Linked DNA regions of Elephas maximus indicus. The protein of the gene in region 1 purifies or fractionates together with the protein of each later gene. This does not show direct contact. Links are inferred from orthologs where the notes say so. Each region holds a gene or a part of one and is shown in the gene's direction. Other genes may lie near its edges. The genes, in order: ENO1, PARK7 and TPI1.

The links.
Region 2: the proteins of ENO1 (region 1) and PARK7 fractionate together in Homo sapiens (co-fractionation; 3 studies listed by BioGRID). This does not show direct contact. The link is inferred for Elephas maximus indicus from reciprocal best matches to the Homo sapiens genes ENO1 and PARK7.
Region 3: the proteins of ENO1 (region 1) and TPI1 fractionate together in Homo sapiens (co-fractionation; 4 studies listed by BioGRID, with this or other methods). This does not show direct contact. The link is inferred for Elephas maximus indicus from reciprocal best matches to the Homo sapiens genes ENO1 and TPI1.

Annotation. Positions count from the first base shown.
Region 1 is NC_064821.1:48,283,681-48,291,512, reverse strand, and holds the start of ENO1 (alpha-enolase), read left to right. Parts: upstream 1-4,077; 5' UTR 4,078-4,203; intron 4,204-6,496; 5' UTR 6,497-6,505; coding exon 6,506-6,590; intron 6,591-7,832. UniProt on the Homo sapiens protein: Glycolytic enzyme the catalyzes the conversion of 2-phosphoglycerate to phosphoenolpyruvate. In addition to glycolysis, involved in various processes such as growth control, hypoxia tolerance and allergic responses.
Region 2 is NC_064821.1:47,286,852-47,295,566, forward strand, and holds the start of PARK7 (Parkinson disease protein 7), read left to right. Parts: upstream 1-5,514; 5' UTR 5,515-5,621; exon of another isoform or gene 5,622-5,626; intron 5,627-6,796; 5' UTR 6,797-6,863; coding exon 6,864-6,953; intron 6,954-8,621; coding exon 8,622-8,715. UniProt on the Homo sapiens protein: Multifunctional protein with controversial molecular function which plays an important role in cell protection against oxidative stress and cell death acting as oxidative stress sensor and redox-sensitive chaperone and protease.
Region 3 is NC_064822.1:63,662,688-63,670,688, forward strand, and holds TPI1 (triosephosphate isomerase), read left to right. Parts: upstream 1-4,344; 5' UTR 4,345-4,359; coding exon 4,360-4,585; intron 4,586-5,764; coding exon 5,765-5,888; intron 5,889-6,002; coding exon 6,003-6,087; intron 6,088-6,161; coding exon 6,162-6,294; intron 6,295-6,592; coding exon 6,593-6,678; intron 6,679-6,929; coding exon 6,930-7,017; intron 7,018-7,140; coding exon 7,141-7,259; 3' UTR 7,260-7,733; downstream 7,734-8,001. Other genes in the region: USP5 (ubiquitin carboxyl-terminal hydrolase 5), read left to right, coding at 298-489, 983-1,126, 1,207-1,352, 1,571-1,724, 2,028-2,112, 2,705-2,798. UniProt on the Homo sapiens protein: Triosephosphate isomerase is an extremely efficient metabolic enzyme that catalyzes the interconversion between dihydroxyacetone phosphate (DHAP) and D-glyceraldehyde-3-phosphate (G3P) in glycolysis and gluconeogenesis.

The DNA of each region.
Region 1 (7,832 bases):
GATATTTTGTTTTCAAACTGGGTCAGAACTCATATGCTGCTGGTTGGACTACACAGATATACAAACACTTTAGAAAATAAAGGTGAAGAAGCGTATACCCTATGACCCAGCAGTTCCACATCTAGGCATTGTTGTTTTTGTTGTTAGATACCATTGGGTTGGTTCTGACTGATAGTGACCCCACACAAAACAGAACAAAACACTGCCTGGTCCTATGCCATCCTCACAATTGTTGCTATCTATGCTTGAGCCCATTGTTGGAGCCACTGTGTCAATCCATCTTGTCAAGGGTTTTCCTGTTTTTTACTGAGCCTCTACTTTACCAAGCATGATGTCTTTCTCCAGGGACTGATCCCTCCTGATAACATATCCAAAGCATAGGCCCTAGAAAAACACTTGCATCTGTGCTCAGGACACATTTGCAACCAAGTTCGTAGCAGCATTATTCACATTATAAAGGGAGAAAAAAAAGTGGATACAACCCAAATATATGTTGACAGGAGAATATGTAATATTCACACAATGGACTGCTATGCAGTACTGACAAAGAACCACCTACACTTCCACACCTATGGGGTCAACATGGACTGATCCCACAAACATCAAGTTAAGCAAAATAACTAGCAAAAGACTATACGCAGTGTGATGCCATTTATATAAAGTTCAAAAAACGATTAAAAAAAAAAGCCATAAAGAAAAGCAAGGGAATAATAAACACAAAACTTAGGTTAGTGGTTATCAAGAGGGATACACAGGGGGCCTTAACAGCACTGCTAATGTTCCATTTCTGAAGCTAGTGGTGTGTCCACAGACATTCATTTATTATCCATGAGTCGGAATGGACTCAATGGCAACTCACAACAAAACATATAATCCTTACATAGTCTTTGGTATATATAAAATATTTAATGATAAAAAAACAAACATGAAAACCTCATGGCCTATTATGAGGAGGGACATAGATGCCTCTGAGGGCCTTCTGTATGTATCTGATCTCTTACCTCCCTGGACCCCTCATCCTACTCTGAAGTTTGGAGAGCTGCTTTCAGAAACAGTATGTCCCTTTCTCCATAAACCAGCGTTTTCCAACCAGTGGTGCACATACCACAGATGGAATCAATAATCCAGATGGGTCCTTGTTGTTAGCTGCAGTGGAGTTGACTCCAACTTGGTGGCATCACTAGGGTGCAGGGGGTACAGACCACACTGGTGACACTTTCAGAGGGGGTGACACCAAAATGACTTGCCTATAAAATTTTTGTGCAGTGTTTCAGCAGAAATTTATTTTTATTTTTTAAAAAATCCTGTAGTTAGTTGTAACAAAAGCATTTTTCATAAGACCAGCTTAACCCACTCCCACTGCCATCAAGTCGATTCCAACTCATAGCAACCCTACATCTATCAATATACCTACAAGGCTAAAGCTCTATGCAGATTTACTTTTTGAACCTTCTAATGCGCACCAGTCAAGGTTGTCACTGTTATGCAATTACAATGACACCTCGAATGATGTGATTTTGCCAGCTACGAGCACGCAATGTTGTTTTCTTTGCTGCCAGTGTTTTTACAGTTGTTGATTTTGTCAAATTTGCCGGTGTTTTAGCTACAATATTGTGGTATTATTTGTGAATCTATATCTATAACTTTTTTGACAATGAAGTAATTAAAAAGAAAAAAAGGCTTCCTTTCAGTTACTAATAATGTTATCACTAATAATGTTTTAATTCGATGTAGAAAGGCTACAAAATAATTTTGTTGTTAGTACTCACATAATCTAAGAAATTTTATAATTAAGCACTTTACAAACTATATTTATCACATATTATCTTATGATTAAAACTGAGGTCCACGGGGGTTGGGGGCGACACCATGAGTTACTGTACTGGGTAACACCACTGTTCCACAAGGTCTTCAAGGCTGTAAGTTTTCGGACCTTGATTTGTAAGCTTTCACTTAAAGTGCAATAAAATTAAAAAAAAAAAACCTCCAACCTTTTTGCTAGCAGTCAAGTGCTTAACCATTTGCACCATTGAGGGCCTCAGGTGGGTCATAGGCTGCTGCAGATTCACCTGCCCTCCATCCAAGCGCTACCTGCAGATCTCCTGCAAGACGGCCTGCATCGCTTCAGGTATGGTATGCTGATAGTAACCTGAGCACCACCAGCAAGGCGAGTGCCCTTGATATGCCACGCAATAAAATTGCTCAACAACCTCACTTTAAAGGGCATCTCCAATAATCATTAATGTTTGAACTACAATTTGAGGTTCAAGTGCTGGCTCATAATGGTGAGCTGTGGGCTCCAAGAATCTTGCAACAGCAGCTGACTCAGATCATGTTCTGCATTTGGCTTCCTGCTAGATTCACTGGTTCTGGCCAGCCAGCAGTTATGAGGGCCTTGATTATCTTTATCTCTAACAACGTTGGTGTAAAGTAAAAGGGATTGTTTGGAGCCCTTTCAGGGCCACGCCTTAGAATTACTCTGAAAATAAGAGCTCTAAATGTCTGATTTCCTTGGAGCCCTTACAAGGCTTGAGAGATGTTGGCTGTGATGTAACTGCTGAGTCATGGGACTCAGATACCGGTTTCCAGCAGCCAAAAACGGCAGTGGTGAAATCACGAACATTGCTTGCAAAATTCATATAATTCTTTAGCGAACCATGTTACAATCTCCATGTTGTGTTTTTGCTGAATTTAATCTTAAAATTTTTGTTTCTTAGTCAATGGAAAACAAATACTGTGGACCCCATAGGCCTTCATCTTTCCAATGCTTTGAAAACCTAAGCTTGACAAGAAAGATGCTAGGAGTTAAGGACGAAAAGCAGTTTTAAGAGCTAATCAGAAGAAATACTAAATTCAATACACATTTGAATCTTTCTATGCAAGGCAATATGGGAAATATGGAAATCTATTACATTGTTTAAGACCTCACACTCACAAACCAGGAGGGCCATGGAGAAAATACAAAAATAACTGTATTAGAACACGAAGTGACCACTCAGCCCCTCCTTGGGGTGGGGGATGTGTTGCAGAGCTGACTTCTTAATGGTCTATCAGATCTTGATCACAATGGCAAAGTCACTGCACCTACCAATTGTTTCTTATTTGCTGGACCACTGTGGAATATTGCTTACTGTTCTGTACTTTAAGAAATTCCTCTCCCAAATCATTACATTTATAGTTCGCACGAATCCCTCGAATTCCATAGATAATGGAAAGGGAGGGATACGAAGTCTCCAGTTAAAGGTGAAATAGTAACAGGCACTAGTGTATGAATTAACACTGGGGAAGCATGTGGAGATGTGCCTGGCACAGAGTAAGAATACTTGGTTAAGTATTGGCTATAATTTATGGAAGACGAACCTTCCTTTCAGCTACCTTGCCTGATCCTCAATGTCAAGCCGGCGTGGCAAGGTGAATGGGGCAGGGTCACCTTGGGCTTGACACGCGGGTGCCTGACCTCGTTGGGCACGCGCACAGCGCACTGCGCGCTGGCGCAGGCAGGCACACGTGGCCTCCTGGACTCAACGTGGCAGACTTCGCCGCGGTCAGGTCCAGGTCGTGGGGGTCGTGCGCCCCGCGCGGTCGCTCAACGCTTCAACTCCCGGGCACCGAGTTCCGGGGCGGGGGAGGCCCGGGAGGCAGGCCGGGAAAGGGTGCGCCGCGAAGGTCGTCACCAAGGTCGTAGCCAAACGTGCGGCCCGGAGCAGGAGCTACGCCGAGTGCGTGCGAGACTCGGAGTACGTGCCGGCGCCCCGAGCCCTCATGCCCGCCGCGCCACCCTGCCCCTCCCAGGCCCCGGCTCCCCAGGTCCCTGTTCTCCTCAGGGGTCCCCACGGGGAGCGGGGCTCGCCAGGATCCCCGTATAGCCACTAGGGAGTCAGGTCCCCAGTGTCCCTAACCCAGCCCTGCGACCCCAAGTCATCGCCCCCAGATCGAGATCGGTGCGGCAGCCGCAGCCCCGCCCCTTCCCGGGAGGCGAGGACCTGAGTGGCGGAGCGCTTAGCCAATGGCGAGGCGGCGCGGACGGGGCCGGCCCCGGAGGCGGGCACTGGGCGGTGCCTCCTAGGCGGGCAGGAAGTAGGGCGAGGCGGCGAGCAGAGGATCCCGGGGAGTTAGCGAGGTCGCACGCAGTTGGCCTAACGCTCGTCTTGGTGTCTGCAGCACTCTCCGCTTCCTTCCTGCGCCACGAGAACCGGCGGCTAGGTAAGGACTCCTGCCAAGGGAGCGCTCGTGCAGGTGGCGTGTGGGTTTTCCTCGACCGAGCTTGTGGGAGCTCCCTCCCCGCAGGGACGTGGCGTGCGGTGGGTTCGGGCGCGGACGGGACCGATGGGGACATGCGCGCCGACTTCCCGCCTCGCTCTCCGGCGAGTGTGTCTGGGCACTCCGCAGATTGAGTTCGGGCCGCTCCCGGATGCGCTCGGAGGCCTGCGGTGTGCCCTGGCAGGACCCAGTGCCCTTCCTGCGGCCCAGGGGCGCGGGTGCGGCGCTAGGCGCACGTGTAGGGCGCCAGGTTTCTTTGTAGGGGAAGATGCTGATCAGCACGTGATTACGGAGTGAAAGGCCAGATAACTGTACTCGGAGAGTCCGGACTAGAACACGCAAACCATTTAGGATATCTGGCGTCGTGGGTGGAAGGCGCTTCTCTATGAGTAGCCAAATGGAAGGTTTTTGGGGAGGGATACAGACTTTGCGCGGGTGATAATTAAAACCAGACCCTTTTTAAAATGGAGGAAGGGACGGGGGGAGATGCCCAGAAAGCTGCAGTTCCTCTTCTCCCCACCAGTAGCCCAAGCGTCCCACTAGTGCCTCAGGGCCTGCAGCTCGGCGCCTGGGTGTCCAGCCAGCCATCGCCGCAAAGGCTTATATAATTTCTAGAAGGTGCTTCTTGAGGAAACTGCAACAGTTCCGGTGGATAATGGGGACGCCCTTAGGCGACCTCGCCCGAGTCAGGCGAGTACCCTGCGCCTCTCCCCGACTTACTCCCTGGAGGGGCCCTCGTGTGGCATAAAAAGATTTTATTTTTTATTTTATTTTTTAAAGCTGCCTGTTTCCTCCACACTGGTCTTGACTCCTGGGAGGTGTGGTCTGTTGGTTGACTTGCTCCAGGTCACTGCCCCGTCCACTTGTTTTGCGCCTGATAACGGGATTCAGTCCAGACAGAAGTGATCACGAGCCGGTTTGCTGTCTCCCTGCTCGCTGAACTTTAATTACTTCGGAGAATGATTTTTCTATAAATGTAAAGGTGTATTACATTTTATTTGCACCTCAAATTTTAAACAAATTTGCCCTTTTGGGTGATAGTATGTAGAAATTAGATACTTTTTTATTGGCTAGTGAATAAAGCTCCATTGTTACACAGAAGTGACTTGGGTATCAAATTTTGAAACTTACAGTAGATTAAAAAGATAGGATGCCAGTTGCTACTTCAGAACATTCCAGAGAAGATGTTAGAGGGAAACCCAGCTAGATAACGGTTTTTGAATAATAATTCATTTCTTCTCATCCACTTCACTTCAGGTTGAGTTAGTTTCTTCCTTAGAGAACTCCTGGGGGGGGGAAGTAAGAAAGGGGCTTTTGGGAGGACTTGCTATTTGCTCTTGGTAGCTGTGATTCCTTTTCTTTTTTAGGTGCGTTTTCAAAGGAAGCCCCTTCCATTGGCGTATGCTGGTGTTCAAAGACAATCTTTCTTCCATTTACAAATCATAACATTTCAGAATTGAGTTTTTTAAATGGGGTAAAATTCCCTTTGGGAGAAATACTAACTAGATGTCATTATTAATGTGTCCTATCTAAAGATGCGAATACTGGGAAATTCAAAAGGCCCAGAAAGTGGCAGTAACAAAGAGCACGGACCAAGGAGCTCATCGTTCCTGAGCACCAAACTCAAAATTGTAACTGGATATCAGTTGAATATTCTACTTCTTCCTCAAACACTGACCTTAATGAAATATGCCCCAAATTTTTAATTCAGTATTCCATTATAAGCTTGGTTTTCCTCCTGCATCCCTACCTTGTGGGGGGGGGGGGGGCCTGGCCTAGATGGTTTTTCTTGTGAGTTTCATGCCCTTTCTTCCTCTGCCCTTAGGTTTGGGCTTGGCCCTTTTCCGTTTCCATGCCAAGCCTCGTAAACTCTCGACAGTAACCAGTTTCAGACTCCTCTTAAGCCGTCCTGTATCCGCCACCACATTCATCTTTACAGGTGGTTTTGGTTTCTCCCTGGTGTGCACATGCTTTGGCCTTCTTTGTTCTGCTTACAGGACGAGACCTGAACTGCTGGTTTAGGGCCTTCCAAAGCTGGGGCCAACCTACCTTTTTAGGAGCAATTCCCATTACTTTGCAGCAGACTTGTTTCCACTTCACCTAGCCTTCCTACCTGCAGCATTTAGTCCAGTGCAGCCATCTTCTAGTCCAGGAAGCCTCGGAGGCAATCCCTTGAATGAATGAGTAATGAACACATTCTGGTTTATGGAAAATATGAACTGTGTTTCCCCTACAGAAACTCACCATGTCTATTCTCAAGATTCACGCCAGAGAGATCTTCGACTCCCGTGGAAATCCCACTGTTGAGGTTGATCTTTATACTGCAAAAGGTATGTGCCACTTGGATTCTGTGGTTCTTTAGTCACGCACCATCTTTAAAACCTACTTAAATTCATAGAGCATTAGACCAAAAAAAGCCTGTTGTGAAAACCTTTCTTGTGGTCTGTACATACTAGTCGGTTGTGATTCCTGACTTGGTGGGGAGCAGGTTATAAGGCAAGGAGTCCTTGACTCCTGGATGGCATTTAAAACAGAACATAGGTTGGCTCCTAGGTCAGTGGGGTAGGGAAGTAAGGTAGGGCCTTGTCCCTAAGAGGTCCCATCACTAGTTTGCTTCTCAGCTTTCTGTGACCAAATAAGCAAAAGTGGTTGTGATAGAATGATCTTCATCCCTTGATAAGGAAGGAGATTAGGGGAATGCAAGCAAGTGCAAATATAGCACTCTTAACTTTCTTTCCAGAAATCACCTTTAACCAAGGGTGGAGAACCCAGAGGCTCTTATTTTTACTGGGCTTTTTTTTTTTTTTTTTTTTCTTAAACCACTGCTGTAAAGTCAAGTCAGTTCCGACTCATAGCAACCCTATAGGACACAGTAGAGCTGCCCCATAGGATTTCCAAGGCTGTAATCTTTATGGAGGCAGACTGCCACATCTTTCTCCAGTGGAGTGGCTGGTAGGTTCAAACCACTGACCTTCTGGTTAGCAATCAAGTGCTTTAATCACTGCACCACCAGGGCTCCTACCATGCTGTAAAAGGGTGCTGGTGGCACAGTGGTTAAAGTGCTCAACAGCTAACTGAAAGGTTGGTGGTTTGAATCCACCAGGTGCTCCACAGGAGAAAAGTGTGGCACTCTGTTTCTGTAAAGATTTCAGCCTTGGAAACCCTGTGGGGCAGTTCTGCTCTATCCTGTAGGGTATGAGTCAGAATCAACTCAATGGCAATGGATTTTTTTTGGGTAAGTTCCCCTAGGAGGAGATTTCCCATGTGAAAAAAGAATAGAGTGGGGCCTCTTAGGAGCTCCTCTGTTTTTTTTTTTTTTTTTTTTAACTTTAAGGAAAAAAATCAGCCCTTCTGTAGCCCTTTTTTCTCTCCAGCAGTGTCTCGGGGAGGTTGGGAAGGAACTTCAGGCAGAAGGAGCTCAGCGGTGCTGAGGTCACCGAGACCTGCCAGTCAGGGCTGAGTCACAGTGAGTCACGTCTGCCTGCCATCCCCACCCAGCCCACTCGCACAGGAAAAGAAGGATTCTGAGTCTAGACTCACTGGCACTAGAAGCCTCCCTGTGTCCTGCCTTG
Region 2 (8,715 bases), about 1.0 Mb from region 1:
ATACAGATTGAATAGGTATGGTGAAAGGATACAACCCTGACACACACCTTTCCTGACTTTAAACCACAAAGTATCCCCTTGTTCTGTCGGAACAACTGCCTCTTGATCTATGTACAGGTTCCTCATAAGCATAATTAGGTGTTCTGGAATTCCTGTTCTTCGCAATGTTATCCATAATTTGTTATGATCCACACAGTTGAATGCCTTTGCAGAGTCAATAAAACACAGATAAACATTTTTCTGGTATCCTCTGCTTTCAGCCAAGATCCACCTGACATCAGCAATGATATCCCTGGTTCCATGTCCTCTTCTGAATCTGGCCTGAATTTCTGGCAGTTCCCTGTCAATATACTGCTGCAACTGCTTTTGAATGATCTTCAGCAAAATTTTGCTTACACGTGATATTAATGATATCGTTCGATAATTTCCATATTTGGTTGGCTCTCCTTTCTTGGGAATAGGCATAAATATGGATCTCTTCTAGTCGGTTAGCCAGGCAGCTGCCTTCAAAATTTCTTGGCATAGACAAGTGAGTGCTTCCAGCTCTGCATCTGTTTGTTGAAAAGTCTCAATTGATATTCGTTCTATTCCTGGTACCTTCTTTTTTGCCAGTGCCTTCAGTGCAGCTTGGACTTATTCCTTCAGTACCATTGGTTCCTGATCATATGCTACCTCTTGGAATGGTTGAATATTGACTAATTCTTTTTGGTATAATGACTCTATTCCTTCCATCTTCTTTTGATGCTTCCTGTGTCATTTAATATTTTCCCCATAGAATCCTTCACTATTGCAACTCTAGCCTTGAATTTTTTCTTCAGTTCTTTCAGCTTGAGAAATGCAGAGCGTGTTCTTCCCTTTTGGGTTTCAATCTCCAGCTCTTATTTTTTGGTAAATGGTTTACTTTTTTGGCTTTGTTCTGTAACAATTTGACGAGAAACCTGCATGAACTATAAAGTTGAGAGTGTCATGAGTGTTGATGACTCATTAAGTAGTCCTCTCGGAGTATATGGGGGGTACCATGTGCAAGTTGACATCAGAATACCCGCATTTGCCCAAGCTCGGCAGGATCGTATATAATCATTTCTCTCCTCTGGACCTCAGTCTGCATCTGTGAAATTAAAACTGTGATAACATCTGCCAGGAAGCCAATATACAATGTCTAAATCTGGTAAATGAGAAATAATATTATTAGCATATTGTTAAGGATGATGACATAATTACCAGAAGAAATAGCTGAAAGTATTTACTTCTGAGCAGCAGAGCTGAGGGGTAGGAAGGTCTGAGTCAGAGGAATACTGTTTTTAAATATAAGGCTTTTAATACTGTATTGGTTAGCTATTGCTGTGTAACAAAACCTGAGTGTACAGTCTTCAGGTTTGTCTTGTACTGTTGGCTGGGCCAGCTCTGTTCCATGTGAGTTCACTCTGAAACCCAGTTTGAGAGGTGAGCAGCAACTTCCCTGGGGGGAAGCTCTTCCTATGGCAATACAAAAGTGCAAGACAGCAAGCCTAAGTATCAGGTTGGGTCAGTAATTTTCAAGCCTTTGTTCAGGTCATATCTGTTAACGTTCCATTGGCCAAAGCAAGGCCAAACCCAAAGTCAAGGGGCAGGAAGTACACTGGACCCATGCAGGTGGAAGGGGAAAAAGCGACTATTTCTGTAAAATAATCCAATCTATCATAGGTAGTATCTGAGTTTTTAAAACTATGTGCATTGTATTAATTTGATAAAAATTAATGCTGATTCAGGTCCAGCCCCCCTGGCCAGCTAACTGGAAGAGATCCATACTGGTGCCGATTCCAAAGAATGATGATCCAACAGAATGTGGAAATTATTGAACAATATCATTAATATTACACACAAGTAAGATTTTGCTGACAATAATTCAGAAAGAGTTGTGGCAGTATATCGACAAGGAACTGCCAGAAATTCAAACTGGATTCAGATGGATCTTGGCTGAAAGCAAAGAATACCAGAAAGATGTTTACCTGTTGTTTTATTGACTATGCAAAGGCATTTGACTGTGTGGACCATAACAAATTATGGATAACACTGAGAAGAATGGGAATTCCAGAACACTTAATTGTGCTCATGAGGAACCTGTACATGGATCAAGAGGCAATCTTTAGAACAGAACAAAGGACCCTTTGTGGTTTAAAATCAGGAAAGGTATGTGTCAGGGTGGTCTCCTCTCACCATACTTATTCAGTCTGTATGCTGAGCAAATAATCTGAGAAGCTGGACTATATGAAGAAGAACACGGCATCAGGATTGGAGGAAGACTTATGTACAGCCTGCAATATGCAGATGATACAACCTTGCTTGCTCAAAGTGAAAAGGACTTGAAGCACTTACTAATGAAGATCAGAGACTACAGTTTTCAATATGGATTACACCTGAACATAAAGAAAACAAAAATCCTCACAATTGGGCCAGTAAGCAACATCATGATAAATGGAGAAGAGACTGAAGTTCTCAATGATTTCATTTTACTTGGATCCACAGTAAATGCCCATGGAAGCAGCAGTCAAGAAATCAAATGACGTATTGCATTGAGCAAATCTGCTGCAAAGGACCTCTTTATTAAAAAAAAAAAAAGGGCAAAAATGTCATTTGGAGGACTAAAGTGTGCCGGACTCAAGCCATGGTATTTTCAATTGCCTCATATGCATTGAGAGTTGGACGGTGAACAAGGAAGACCGAAGAAGAATTGATGCCTTTGAATTATGGTGTTGACAAAGATATTGCATATACCATGAACTGCTAGAAGAACAAACAAATCTGTTTTGGAAGAAGTACAGCAGGAATGCTCATTAAAAGTGAGGATGGTGAGACTTTGTCTCAAATACTTTGGACATGTTATCAGGAGAGCCCAGTCCCTGGAGAAAGACATCATGCTTGGTAGAGGGTCAGTGAAAAAGAGGAAGAACATCAATGAGATGGATTGACACAGTGGCTGCAACAATGGGCTTAAACATAGCAATGACTGTGAGGAGGGCTCAGACCGGGCAGTGGTCATTCTGCTCTACATGAGGTCACTGTCAGTCAGAGCTGATTTGAAAGCACCTAACAACAACAAACAGGTCCATTTTAGATCTTGATGGTGATGCAGATGCTTCAGCAGTGTTAACTCTGTCTCTGCCAATCCATCTGTTTTGCCATTTTTACTCTGTCATGGCTGTCTCCTGCTGCAGCATGCCATGAGCATGGTTGTCTCCTTGCCAGACTTCACTATGAGGACAGGATCAAAACAGTCTGTTTTCTTTGGTTTTCCTTCCATCTACTGAACTTCCTCCTTGGTTCTTCAAGCACACATCTGACCACTTGCCTCCCCTCCCTCTCTGTCTCTATTTTAGAAGCTCCTTCAAAGCTGAAAGAGGGTGGCTTTTGCCTGCTTCCTTTGCCAAATATGAAGTCATTCCAGAACTCCCCAAACAATATTTTCTTAAAATGTCAAATAATGATTTAAAGACATTCAATTTTTTTTGCAGTGCAGAGTGCTGCATAAATGAATCGATTTACATTTAATTTAAATAAAAAAGCCCTCCCCACGATTATAAGGATCACATGAAATATATGAAAGTGCTTTGTAAAGTAACAAAGGAAAGAAAGTTATTTCTTGAAAATAAACATTTTTAAAAATCTAAATTGAAACTTAGAAAACACTGACATATTTAAAATTTTGTTTGATCTCATAGATTGCTGGTGGGAATGTTAAGTGTTTCAACTTCTGTGGAGTTGCTCAAATGCATTTCCCATTTCTGGGAATTTACCCTCCACTTATACCTGCATGAGTAGGATCTATGTGTAAGGTTATTCAATGCTGCATTGTCCCTACAGATAACGACTGGAAATAACCTAAATGTTCATCAGTAAGTAAACTATGGAACATCCCCACAATGGCGTATTATCCATCTGGGAAAAAAAAGGGGGGGGGGATTCTTTTTGTTTTCATGTAGATTTTCAAGAAACATTAAGTGAAAAAATAAGTGCAAGACAGTGTACATAATCTGCTACATTTTATGTGAAAAAGAATAGTCTTTATTTGTATTGCTTGTGCTTATATAAACGCTGGAAGGCTTCTCAGTGAAGTAATAAAGTTGGTTACTGGGTGGGAGGTGGGGTTGGGACTGGATGGGACATGGATGGGAGTGTGTCTTTTCAGTGTAACCCTTATCTTTTGAAACTGCTGAAGTACTAATATTCAGAAACTTTACAAGAATAAAATTTGAGATAATTTAAATTTAACCAATCAAGTACTTGTTAGACTTACATGTGCAGCATTGCTTCTAACCTGTGAATGCAAAAGCAGCATTAGCTTATGTGAACAACTTAAGGAGATAAGCAAATACACACAAAATTGCCGTGTGTAAATAAATTCTGAACAGTCACCTGGGATCACTCAGCCTAAGTGCCTGGGTTGAACAAGGCCTGGTGTTGCAAGGAAAAACATCGCAAAACTTAGTAATACATAAAGGAAGTGTGATTCAGCATGTATTAAAAAAGGCAAAAGTGGGAAGCAGAGAACCTGCCATAGTTAATGTCTGCCCGAATCTGAGGAAATATTATACAATAGACAAAAGTGGGAAAACGGACAAGCATGCTGCTAGCGCCATGTCTGCCCGAGTCCAAGGAACATTACAGAATCATCAGTATATATTAACAGTACGAATGGGCAGAACTATTGAAAGCTTCACCTTTTCACAGATTGGCTAAAAATGTGATCCTAGATTTTGAATCCTCTTAACAGTCATTGGTACAGGTTTCAGTAATGACAGTCAGGGTCTTCATTGGTCCAACAGATTTTCTATTCACTAAATGGTAATCTTTTTTTTTAAACGGTAATAGAAAAAGAGTGGAAAGTTTTTTGTGTTGATCGCTTATGTGAAAGTTTCCCTAAAAGATATTTTCCAAGATTATGTTGTCTTTATACCTCAGGGCCCAGTTGAAGTGTCCTTGTGAGTCCCTGAGTCCACCTCCAGCTGGGTCATATTCTTGTATGCCCAAAGACATGGAATAACTTCAGTATTATTTCCTAAGTCACCGGAAAGACCTTGAAGAACGAGTCCTACTAGATCGGAGGTGAAAGGCGAAGACGTTTCAGGAAACAGGAATGACGCAAAAGGGGATAGAAACGAACACAAGAAACGCCAGGAACAAATCTATCAATACCCATGTTTAAGCTGCAGCGGCTCTAAGAGCTCTGCGTTGTGCCTTTTCGGCTTCAGCAAAAAGCGGGTTAAACCGCGGGAGCCGGCGGACTGTGCCATTCGTGGGAGGGGTTTCGTGTGGATGCGTGAATCTGTAGCACTTTAGGGGTGCTGGGAGTTCCACTTGAAGGAACTGAAATTATCCCTAGACACACAATTCCGAAGCAGAAAAGGACTGACGCACCCCCAATCCGTTCGATGCATCCCTCGGAGGCGGGCTCGCCGGACGTGACGTAACATGACGCGACACGGCGCCGGTATGCGCATTTGTGGGGAGGCCGGGAGAGGCGAGTCTGCGCAGTGCGAAGGGGGCGGGTCCGGGCGGCCCGGTTCCGGTTAGGTCCTCCTGGGTGCACTGCAGGCGTCGCAGCCGAGTGGGCCGAGGATCCCTGTCTGTAGGCGAGGCGCGAGGTCAGGTCGGGCTGGGGAAGAGCGAGGCGCGTGCGCACGGGTCGCGGGGGCCCTGGGTGTGTCGAGCCTTAGCTGGGTTACACGACTCTGGTGCGGGGGCTTCGGAAGGTAAACGGCCAGGCCTGTGCACTCGGATGAGGTCACTGAACCGTGCGGACCCCGGGCGTAGGTTTGGTTGCGTTTGATAAACATGGCAGTTTAGTCTAAGGAGATTCCGTTATTTTTGAGTGCCAACCGTAGTAGCATCGCTAAAGAAGAGAGCTTCCAAAATGCTGTAACACATTTCTGGCTTGGACCGAGTTAATACTGTATGTTGAAATCGTTTTATTGAAAATCTGTTTTGCTTGGACAGCAAACTCTCCAGAAAAAGGTTAGGCTAAAAATTACGCAGAACTATGTGCAAAGAGGAGTCCTGGTGGTGCAGTGGTTAAGAGCTCGGCTGCTAACCACGAGGTGGGCAGGTCATATCCTCCAGCCGCTCCTTAGAAACCCTATGGCGTAGGTCTACTTTGTCCTATAGGGTCGCTATGAGTCGGAGTCGACTCAATGGCAAGGGTTTTTTTTTTTTTTTTTAATGTGCAAAGAGAGATAATATAGCTGGATTAAGTTTAAGTGAGGGGAATTTCCATCTTTCTCAGTCATAAAAAATACTGCGTTTAACATGATTAAATCCCCCCCCAAAGTTTTTAGTGCAGTTATTGGAACTAAAAAAAAAAAATCCCCTCCAAAAATCTTCCAGGCTCATTACTAAACACTGAGAATTTAATCTTATGCCCATAAAATTAAGGTTATTTGTTTCTCTATGAAAAAGCACTACAAAAAGGCAGATTTCTTTTTATCACTGGCATTGTGTGACATGCAAGACTCATGTACTTGCGTTTTAGAAAAGCTCACTTGCGATGTATTATTAGAAATTGGATTTAAGAAATTATGGTAAAAAGATAGTGGTAAAAGAATATCTAAACAATCCAAACGTGTATTTTGTGACACCCTCTAAGAGAATTAGCAGCTCCACTGTGTTTTTGTCTTAGAAATCAACAGTTGGACACTACTATATAAACCAATATTATCCTAAAATGCTCGATTTTAGATGTGTTTGTTAGACCCTTTACCCTAGGAGGTACTTATTTACTGTTTGAAAATATTTCTAAGCTTAAACTTTTTGGCTATTCCAGGGGTGCAGTGAAAGTTTTTTTGGGAAATCTATTTTTGTATTAAGTCTTTAAAAAATACAACCTAAAAATGGCTTCAAAAAGAGCTCTGGTCATCCTGGCCAAGGGAGCAGAGGAGATGGAGACCGTCATCCCTGTGGATGTCATGAGACGTGCCGGAGTAAGTCCCCCACTGTGGTCTAATCCTCACCTCCCTTTTTTAAAAATGGTTGGAATTTTAAAAGACATTTTGAGTAATGTAGTATGCAAAGTCCTTTTTGAAATATTTTACACCTACACAGAAATACATAATAAATACCCATTTATCAAACTATATGTGATCAAATTTACAGCAGCAACTCAAAAGGATAGATGAGAAGCTTAGGAGGGCAATGAGTTTGTGTTAACAGTGGTGAAATAGTTTGGAAAATGTTGTTGAGAAAGATGGCACAACTTGAAGAATGTAACCAGTGTCACTGAATTGTACATGTAGGAATTGTTGAAGCGGTGTATGTTTTGTTGTGTATGTTTTCACCAAAAACCCACATTTACCCACTGCCTATGTTTAATATTTGTTGACATTATGCCCTATTTCAGACCCATTTCTTAAGGAACAAATGCTTTAAAGCAATGAACTTGAAGCCCCTTTGTTCTTTTCCCAATCCTGTTCTCCTTCTTTGTCCCCAGAGGTAAACGACTGCTATCCTCAAGTTAGTTTGCATCTGTCCCATGCATGTCTTTAAAGTAGCACTAGACTGATAGCTATCATTCTCTGTGTTTATCCATATTGTTACATAAGAATAGAGAACACTTAAATAGTTCTATGTGCCCGGTGTCATTCTGAGCACTTATATAAACTTGTTTAAACTTTCCAACAACCCTGAATTAGGTATTGCCATCTGATGGCACAGTGGTTAAGAGCTCTGTTGCTAACCAAAAGGTTGACAGCCCAAATCTACCAGCCGCTCCTTGAAAACCCTATGGGGCAATTCCACTCTGTCCCATAGGGTTGCTATCAGTTGGAATCGACCCTACGGCAACAGGTTACCCTCATTTTACAGTTGAGATCGAGGAACAAACACACAAAATAACATTCTTGTGGTCACAGTAAGTAGAAGAGCCAGCATTCAGACCCGGGCAGTGTGGCCACCCCCACGCCCAGTATACTTTTTTGCCTCTCACAAGTGTAGATACATGTTAATCCAGTTTATTCATTTAAAATTGTTGCTTAGTGTTGTCCTATATGAATACTCCACAATGTTACAGTGCTTCTACATATAGTATTACAATACTGTCATAAGTATTCTCTTGCAGGTAGTATATATCTAAAAGTGGAATAGTAGAATTGCTAGACCAAAGATACAGTCAGCATTACTAGATTGTGTCAAGTGCTCTTCAGTGTACAATTTGTCACTTCCCATTTTCTAAATACCAGCTCTTGGTATTGTCTGCTTTTTAATTTTTTGCCAGATACAGTAGTATTTCATTGTTCTAATTTCCATTTCTACCTTATGAAAACACTGTGAGGTTTAAATGGCCACAACAGCCTTGCAAGATGGGTTATTAACAGGATGATCACATAAATTGCCGCCCGAACAGAACACTTCAGGGAGAAAGAACGCTAACTGGATAGGATGCTGGGACAGCAGCTATAATTGGGACTCTACTAGGCAAACCAGGACAGACCTGGTTATTAAATATATTAAGCCAACTAACCAGCTTGAATTCAGAATTGCTGTGTTACAGTATTTCCTGCAAGATTATTTTTAAAGCATATGGGAACTGTAAAATGTTATTGTAAATTTATGTTTCAGTGTTCTAAAATGTCACAGTGACATCTTTCTCTTAGATTAAGGTCACCGTTGCGGGTCTGGCTGGAAATGACCCAGTACAGTGTAGCCGAGATGTTGTCATTTGTCCTGATGCCAGTCTCGAAGATGCAA
Region 3 (8,001 bases), on another chromosome or scaffold:
AGGAAGTTGAGATCCACAGAAGTATAAAAGGACTCAGTTGTACAAGTTGGAGGTCCCATTCCTTGTCTGTAGCTCATTGTGGTAGATCTAGGACTAGAATCCAGGTCTTGACTCCCAGGCTCACTGTTATTTTTACTACATTAGGACTCCTTTAAGATTGGTCCTGTTCTTAGTAGCTCCTTGTTACAGAGCAGTTTCAAGATGAGAAGCAAGGGCTTGAGATCCCCGAAAGTGATTTTTCAGAGAGGGCCTCAGGGAGCTGCTGAGGCGACCCCTTTCCTGCCATTCCCATTGCAGATGTGTCTATTGAGATGCCGGAGGAGCTAGACATCTCCCAGTTGAGGGGTACAGGGCTGCAGCCTGGAGAGGAGGAGCTGCCTGACATTGCCCCACCCCTGGTCACTCCGGATGAGCCCAAAGGTAGCCTTGGTTTCTATGGCAACGAAGACGAAGACTCCTTCTGCTCCCCTCACTTCTCCTCTCCAACATGTTAGTGACTCTTCCTGCCTGTCTTTCTCCATGCTGATGGGGGGCTTCTCTGCCTTGCCTCCCCCCTGACCCTGTCCTTCGTGTTTCTCCTGTCTTCCCTTCAAATTTCCTCCGTCCTCTTTTGATGGACCTGGGGACTGACTAGAGCACTCCCAGCCACATTCTGCATGTGGATGGCAGTAGCACTGGCTAATTGCTTCAACCCTGTTACCTCTTTGGATGGGGGTGGGGAGTATCATGTTCCAGAAACAGGGCCATTCCATGAGAATGGACAGAGAAGGGGATAAATGGAACCTGTAACCTCAGTTCTGTGCATTTAGAATACTGGACCTACATTATGTTGTGGGGTCACTTTAGGATAAAATTGAGGAATATGCATGGAATGGGTGGTTGGAAAAGGGCTGGCGGGTGCACTGTGGAAAGGAGGAGGGGCAGCTGGTGCCCCATGGAGTTGGGTCACTGTTCACATAATTCCCATCCTCCCTCCCCACAGCACCCATGTTGGATGAGTCGGTCATCATCCAGCTGGTGGAGATGGGCTTCCCTATGGATGCCTGCCGCAAAGCTGTCTACTACACCGGCAACAGTGGGGCTGAGGCTGCCATGAACTGGGTCATGTCACACATGGATGATCCAGGTAGGCAGGGTGGGGCAGCAGGACAGGGCAGGGCCACCATCCTTCCCCCAAACACACTTCAACCCTTCACATCCTGACAGATTTTGCAAACCCCCTCATCCTGCCTGGCTCCAGCGGACCTGGTTCCACAAGTGCAGCAGCCGACCCCCCACCAGATGACTGTGTGACCACCATTGTCTCCATGGGCTTCTCCCAGGACCAAGCCCTGAAAGCTTTGCGGGCCACGGTATGGGCTGCCCCAGCTAAGGACTTGGGGCCTATGGGGGAGGAAAGGGGTAGGAATGAAATTCTATCCTTTGCGATTAAGACCAAGCACAATGGGAATAGTATGGCCAATGCTGGGGCTCCACCCTTACGTGGCTCTGATGAAGGAGCTGAGCTTTCACTGGTGGTTTTCTTGCCCCAGAACTTGTTTAGAAAAGTAACAGTTCCTTCCTCTCCAAGAACAACAGTTTAGAACGGGCTGTGGACTGGATCTTCAGTCACATCGATGACCTGGATGCTGAAGCTGCCATGGACATCTCAGAGGGCCGCTCAGCTGCTGACTCCATATCTGAGTCTGTGCCTGTGGGACCTAAAGTCCGGGATGGTCTTGGAAGTGAGTGTCCCTGGAAAACAGGACAGAACTGAGAGAATCTAGCTAATCCGCTACTCCAGATCTCTCATTCGAAGGCAGCTCTACTTTCCTCAAGGGTCAGAGGCGTCAGAAGCTACCTTCCATTAATGTGACTTTTTGAGGGTGGGATTCTAGGAGGCTGAGATAGCCTTTTGGTCCAGTACATGTTCCACATTCCCTGAAACTCATGTCCTCACTTTGAGCTGCTAGATCAATCTTTGGACTGGTGCTCAAGGATTTCTTGCCCATTTTCTTCTCTGCCCTCTTATCTCTCCTTTTTCCTAGAGTATCAGCTCTTTGCCTTCATTAGTCACATGGGCACCTCTACCATGTGTGGTCACTACGTCTGCCACATCAAGAAGGAGGGCAGGTGAGGGGCTGGCAGTGTGCATTTTGAATGGGAAGTGGTGGTGGGAATGAGTAGGGGCACTCTGGAAGAAATTCTTAGTATATTTGCGATAGGGGCACAAATACACCAGAGATTGGAAGAATGCCTTACAACAGGGAACAGCAAACTATATATAGCCCAAGGGCTGAACCTAGCCACCTGCTTTTGTAAATAAAGTTTTATTGGAATATAGCCACACTTAGTAATTATGTATTGTCTATGGCTGTTTTCGTGCTGCAGCAGGAAAGTTGAGTCACTGTTGTAAGACTGGATGACCTGCAAAACCTAAAATATTTACTATCTAGCCTTTACCAAAAAGTTTGCCAACCCCTACAGGAATGGGTAGGGGGTGATTGTAAAGATACTGAAGGATCTCAAGACACAGAGGAGGAGAAATGACCCTTGTGGAATTGGGACGCTCCCTTCAGAGAGATAGCGAGTGGACTGTAGGTTTGGGGACCCAGGCAGACAATGTTCGGAGCCTTTCCCCCAGAATCAACTCTAGGGCTGTGTCTTAGGGATTAATTAAGTTGATGCAAATTGGGATGTCCATCCTTTTCTTTCCCTTCCCCAGATGGGTGATCTACAATGACCAGAAAGTGTGTGCCTCTGAGAAGCCACCCAAGGACCTGGGCTACATCTACTTCTACCAGAGAGTGGCCAGCTAAGAGGCCCCTCCTCACCCCTCACCACTGGGGACAGGGGACAAACCACCTGGCATGAGGGATAGGGGCTGAGGGATGGGCCTCAGCCCCCCTGCTCTATACCCTGTTTCTTTTTGTCCCCAGCAGCAGGGAAGAAGCTGGAGGCCATAGGAGAATGGCCAAACAAAGGGAAGGGGGCACTCTATAGACTTTGGGGATTAAGTGGGAAGGGGAAGGGAGGGGCCAGCTGCCTGTCTGTAAGAGACTTCGTTGCTTCCCCTGCCCCTTGAATCCACAGTGCTCTGCTTCTCTGTGTAATCTCACCCAGCCCCCTGGTGTGTGTGTGTCAGAGGGGGGGGTCTTATTTGTGTGTGTGCGTGGGTGTAGCTTTGTGCATCCTCTTCCAGGGGAGGGAGCATCTGTGCCTCCTCTCCCCCATTGTGTTTGCTCTATGTGTGGTTGGGCAAGGAGGGGTATGAGGGAAATGGGGACCTCCCTTCACCCTCCTGCCTCAGTCTTTTCCTCGTCCTTTCTGAAAATGCCAAAATACACGATGTGAATAAAAATACAATGGCTAACTTGTGTCCTGTTTGATACCTTGGGAAGGACTTCTGTTCCCTGGAACTAGTGGGAGGGCCAGTTTCAGAAAGCTCCCAGCCCCTTTGCCCTTCCTCTGTCTCCTCCATAGGCAATTTTCTCTTTAATTTTCACTAGTCCTAGAACTCTTGGAAAATTGGGTGTGAAAGGGGGACAGATCAGGGGTGGTCCCTGGAGCAGAAAAGCGGTGGAGGCAGGAGCAGAAAGGAGCTGACCACTAGTTGGGCCTGTCAGATCAAGAAAGTGGAGTGACCTAAATACAGAGCACAGAGCAAGGAAAGGTGGGGGTGAAGAGCCCTTCTTCCTCCTAGCAGTCATAGGAGGGGCTGAGTGGCTATTTCCCAAATGTCCCTAGTGGCTGGGGGGCACTCAGTCTGGGCTCTCGGCCCTTCAGTGTCTTGTGAGGCCTTGACCAGCTGGAGTAAAGAGTGGGATATCCCGGAGAAGGGGCTGCAGGTTTCTGATCTGCCTCTCTGGGCTGCAGAGTGACTAATGTGGGCTGTCCTTCCACCTCTGAACCTTATTTGCCCAGCAACTGTGGGGCTACACATCTCCCTGGGCAGGTCAAGGGTGCCTACTCTTCAGCCAGGGACGTAGCTTTGATATGGGAAGGGGTACTCTTTCCCTGAGCTGGAGCCATGCCCCTCAGAGCTCAGCCCTAGAGAGCAATTTGGCTTAAGGCTAAGCGGTGGGAATGGTCTGGCCTGCCAGCCAGCTCCATTTAGAGCCTTCTCTGGCCCTCTGGGGAGCTGTAGTCATGAGGTCTGGGTGCCCCTGAGCGCAGGGGCTCACAGTTCTTGCCTTTCCTTTATTGCCAGGCAATTGAGGCTACTAAAGCTACCAAGTCCCCAACGCTCCTAGAACGTTGCTACAAGAAAGGGGGAACGTCAGAACCTTGCAACAGCGGGCGGCCCGCAGGCGGGCGGGGGCTTGCAGGCGGCAGGAGGGGCCAGGGGGAAGGACTTCCAGGCAGGGGGCCGGGCTAACTATGGCTGAGGACGAGGAGAAGGCGGGGTTCTGCCTCACCGCGCTCTATATAAGCGGGCAGTGGCAGCGGCTGCGCCGTGGTACTGACCTTCAGTGTCTCGACTCTAGCGCAATGGCGCCCTCCAGGAAGTTCTTCGTGGGGGGGAACTGGAAGATGAACGGGCGAAAGAAGGGCCTGGGGGAACTCATCACCACTCTGAACGCGGCCAAGGTGCCGGCCGATACTGGTAGGCCCTCACCAGGGAGAGGCCGGGGCCGGGAAGGGGGGACGGGCGTGGCACTGCCCTCGCTCGAGCTCCCTGAGACGGGTGTCCGAGCGGACCTGGATGCCCGGCCGGGGTATAAGGGCCGTTGAGTGTCAGGGCATCGATCCTACATCGTGGTGGCCTCGCAGCAGCATTCGCGGGGGTGTGTCGAAGGGGAAAGGCGGGGCTCCATTTAATGGTGCCCTCAGACTCTGGGGCGGGAAAGGATTTAGGTCACCGGGAGGAAGATGGCCCCAGGGCGCCGACTAGGGCTGCACCAGCCAGGAGCGTGGGGTAGAAGCGTAGCCCGAGCCCCCGAGGGCGACCGGCAGAGGCTGGCGACCTGTACGGGTGAGGAGGCCGAGCGTGCGTGCGGGCTCCCGGCTACCTGCCTCTGGGCTCCGGCTCCGTGCGCGGCCGCACGTAGCCCAAGACTCCTCCCCACGCCTGGCTGGGCGCGCCGGCCTTCCCGCCGCCAAGCTGCTTTGGGTTCCGGAGCCACCCGTTCCGATCCTTTCACTTCGGCAGCCTGAGCTGCTCCTGCCTTCCACGGCAGAGCTGAGCAGGTGCCAAACAGACTGAGACATTTGGGAGTGAGGAGCGATCCTGCGGCATTCCCCAACGTGGAAAGGGAAAAGCGCAAGGCCTTTATGAGCTAGTCAGCTGCCTGCCACCCCCCTAAATCACAGAACCACGTGCCTGATCAAAAGCGGTATTCCCTTCTGGTGTATTTTCTAAAGACCCCCAATACGAACCCCAGGAATTGGCCCCTTCTCCTTCGCTAAAAATCCTTGCCTTGCTGGGGGAGGTGGGGATGGGCTATTTTAGAAGAAAGGCGGAGTTGGCCCCCAGAGAATGCTGAGTCCGGGAGGTGCCCATGCCCAGAATAGTCCCAGGGAAACCGGAGCCACAGCTATTAAAGGAGCAAAGGGCAGGGCTAGGGTCATGGCCTTTCAGGGGCACCCGGAAGGCTTTAGGAGCTGGGTGCAGGTCCAGCCTAGGCTGGGGAGTGGACAGAGGTCATCTTGCTGGGGTGAAAAAGGGGGAAAGCAGAACTAAGGAAGAGAATGAAGGCTGAGTGCTTTGGAGCACTGGATGGGAAGTCTGGAGAACGCAGGTTTTTGGTGATCTCATCCCCATGTGCCTCCATCTCATCCACAGAGGTAGTCTGTGCACCCCCTACTGCCTACATCGACTTTGCCCGGCAGAAGCTAGATCCCAAGATTGCTGTGGCTGCACAGAACTGCTACAAAGTGACTAATGGGGCCTTTACGGGGGAGATCAGGTGAGATGCAAGCAGGAGAGAGGTGTGTGGGGACCCTGCCCTCACTTTCTTCATTTGAGGGGAAAGCCACAGGGTGGGCTCCCTCCTGAGCCATAGCTTCCTCTCTTCCTTTAGCCCTGGGATGATCAAAGACTGTGGAGCCACCTGGGTAGTCCTGGGGCACTCAGAGAGAAGGCATATCTTTGGAGAGTCAGATGAGGTTAGTAACCAGGAGTGGAAATACGGGCTGCCTTATTCCAAGAGGGCTGTGTCACCAAGCCTGTTCTCCTACAGCTGATTGGGCAGAAAGTGGCCCATGCCCTGGCAGAGGGCCTCGGAGTAATCGCCTGCATTGGGGAGAAGCTAGATGAGAGGGAAGCTGGCATCACGGAGAAGGTCGTTTTCGAACAAACCAAGGTCATCGCAGGTATCTCTGGAGAAGGGACCTTTGAGCCTAGCCTGGGCTGCAGAGGGTGGAGTCAGATGCTCTGCAGCCTGACTTTGATCCCCATGCTGATCCAGGAAAGGAAGGGGGAGGGTGAGAGTCTTGCATCCTCCCTGACTTCTGCCCCTCCCCGACAGTACAGTTGCCTTGCCACCTGGGGTTCCTGTAATAGCCACCAGGTGGCAGCAGTGGGCCACCATAATTTTTCATACCCTGGAGAGGGTGGCTGGATAGCTCCTTCGCATTCACCCACCCTCCATCTGTGATCTTTGTCCTGCAGATAATGTGACCGACTGGAGCAAGGTCGTCTTGGCCTATGAGCCTGTGTGGGCCATTGGTACTGGCAAGACTGCAACACCCCAACAGGTGACCTAGCCCAGGAGCCCTGCCATCATCCAGTCCTACCTGTTGATCTATGTACCCCTCGTGTTAAAGATGAGGAACCCTCAAGTCCAAAGCGGAAGAGTGACTGGTCCAAGGTCACCCATTCCAGGGCCTGGCTGAGATTAAAGCCCTGGTGTTCAGAGATCACACTTCCTCTCTCCACTGGTGCCCAATGTTTTTCCCCTTTGAATGGGAAGTAGAAAGGGCTTTACTTAGTCTGGCTCTTGTTCTAGGCCCAGGAAGTGCATGAAAAACTCCGGGGATGGCTCAAGTCTAATGTCTCTGATGCGGTGGCTCAAAGCACTCGCATTATTTATGGAGGTAAGTGGATTTGACCCCAGCCTGAGGTGGGGCGGGCTGACAACTAGATGGAGCCCTCAGACATGGAGTGGGGATGGGGTATGTCCATCTCTCTCTTGATCCGTCCCTCTCACTCCTTCCCAGGTTCTGTGACCGGGGCCACCTGCAAGGAGCTGGCAAGCCAGCCTGATGTGGATGGCTTCCTGGTGGGTGGTGCGTCCCTCAAGCCGGAATTCGTGGACATCATCAATGCCAAACAATAAACCCCATCCATCTCCCCTACCCCTTCCCGCTGAGCCAGGGACTAGGCAGCCCAGAAGCCCAACAACCCCCTCCCCCTACATGCTTCTGATAGTGTCACCTGCCCCGTCTCATGGCCTAATCCAAAGTGTACCTTCCTTTACTGTTTACACCTTCCCCTGTAATGGCTGGGACCAGGCCAATCACTTCTCCACTTACTGTCATGGTTGGAAATAAACATGTCACCAAGGTGGCTTCTCATTGGCTGAGAGATGGAAGGTGTGGAGCTTGCCCATGGGTCCCCTCAGTCCCCAGTGAAGGCAGGAGAGAGAAATCTTACTTCTCTTCCCCTCTTACACTGTGAAGCCAGGGTCTGAGAGAGACCCCTGTCCTCCCCTCAGAGGCCAGGGGTGCTACCCTCTCCCATGATTCCAACGCCTGTGTGTGTTGTGTGTATCGCTGTCCCACATGTGGGGGAAATAAACATCTGGCACTAAGCCTTGTGGTTTGTCCTTCTTTGCTATACTTGTCCATACAATTTCCTCTCTTTTTGCTTTTTGAGGCAGCCACAGGACCTTATCCCTTGTGTAAAAAAAATAATACCATGAACAGGTTTCTATAACAACATATCTCTTACTATTTTTACTCAAAAAAAGTCTTGTGTACCAGGCTGCCACAGCCTTGAATAACAGCTCCCTCCCTTCCACCCCCTCTGGGTGCCTCTGGGATGGTTGAGCTCCCCAGAACGTTGGGAATGTTGGGGTA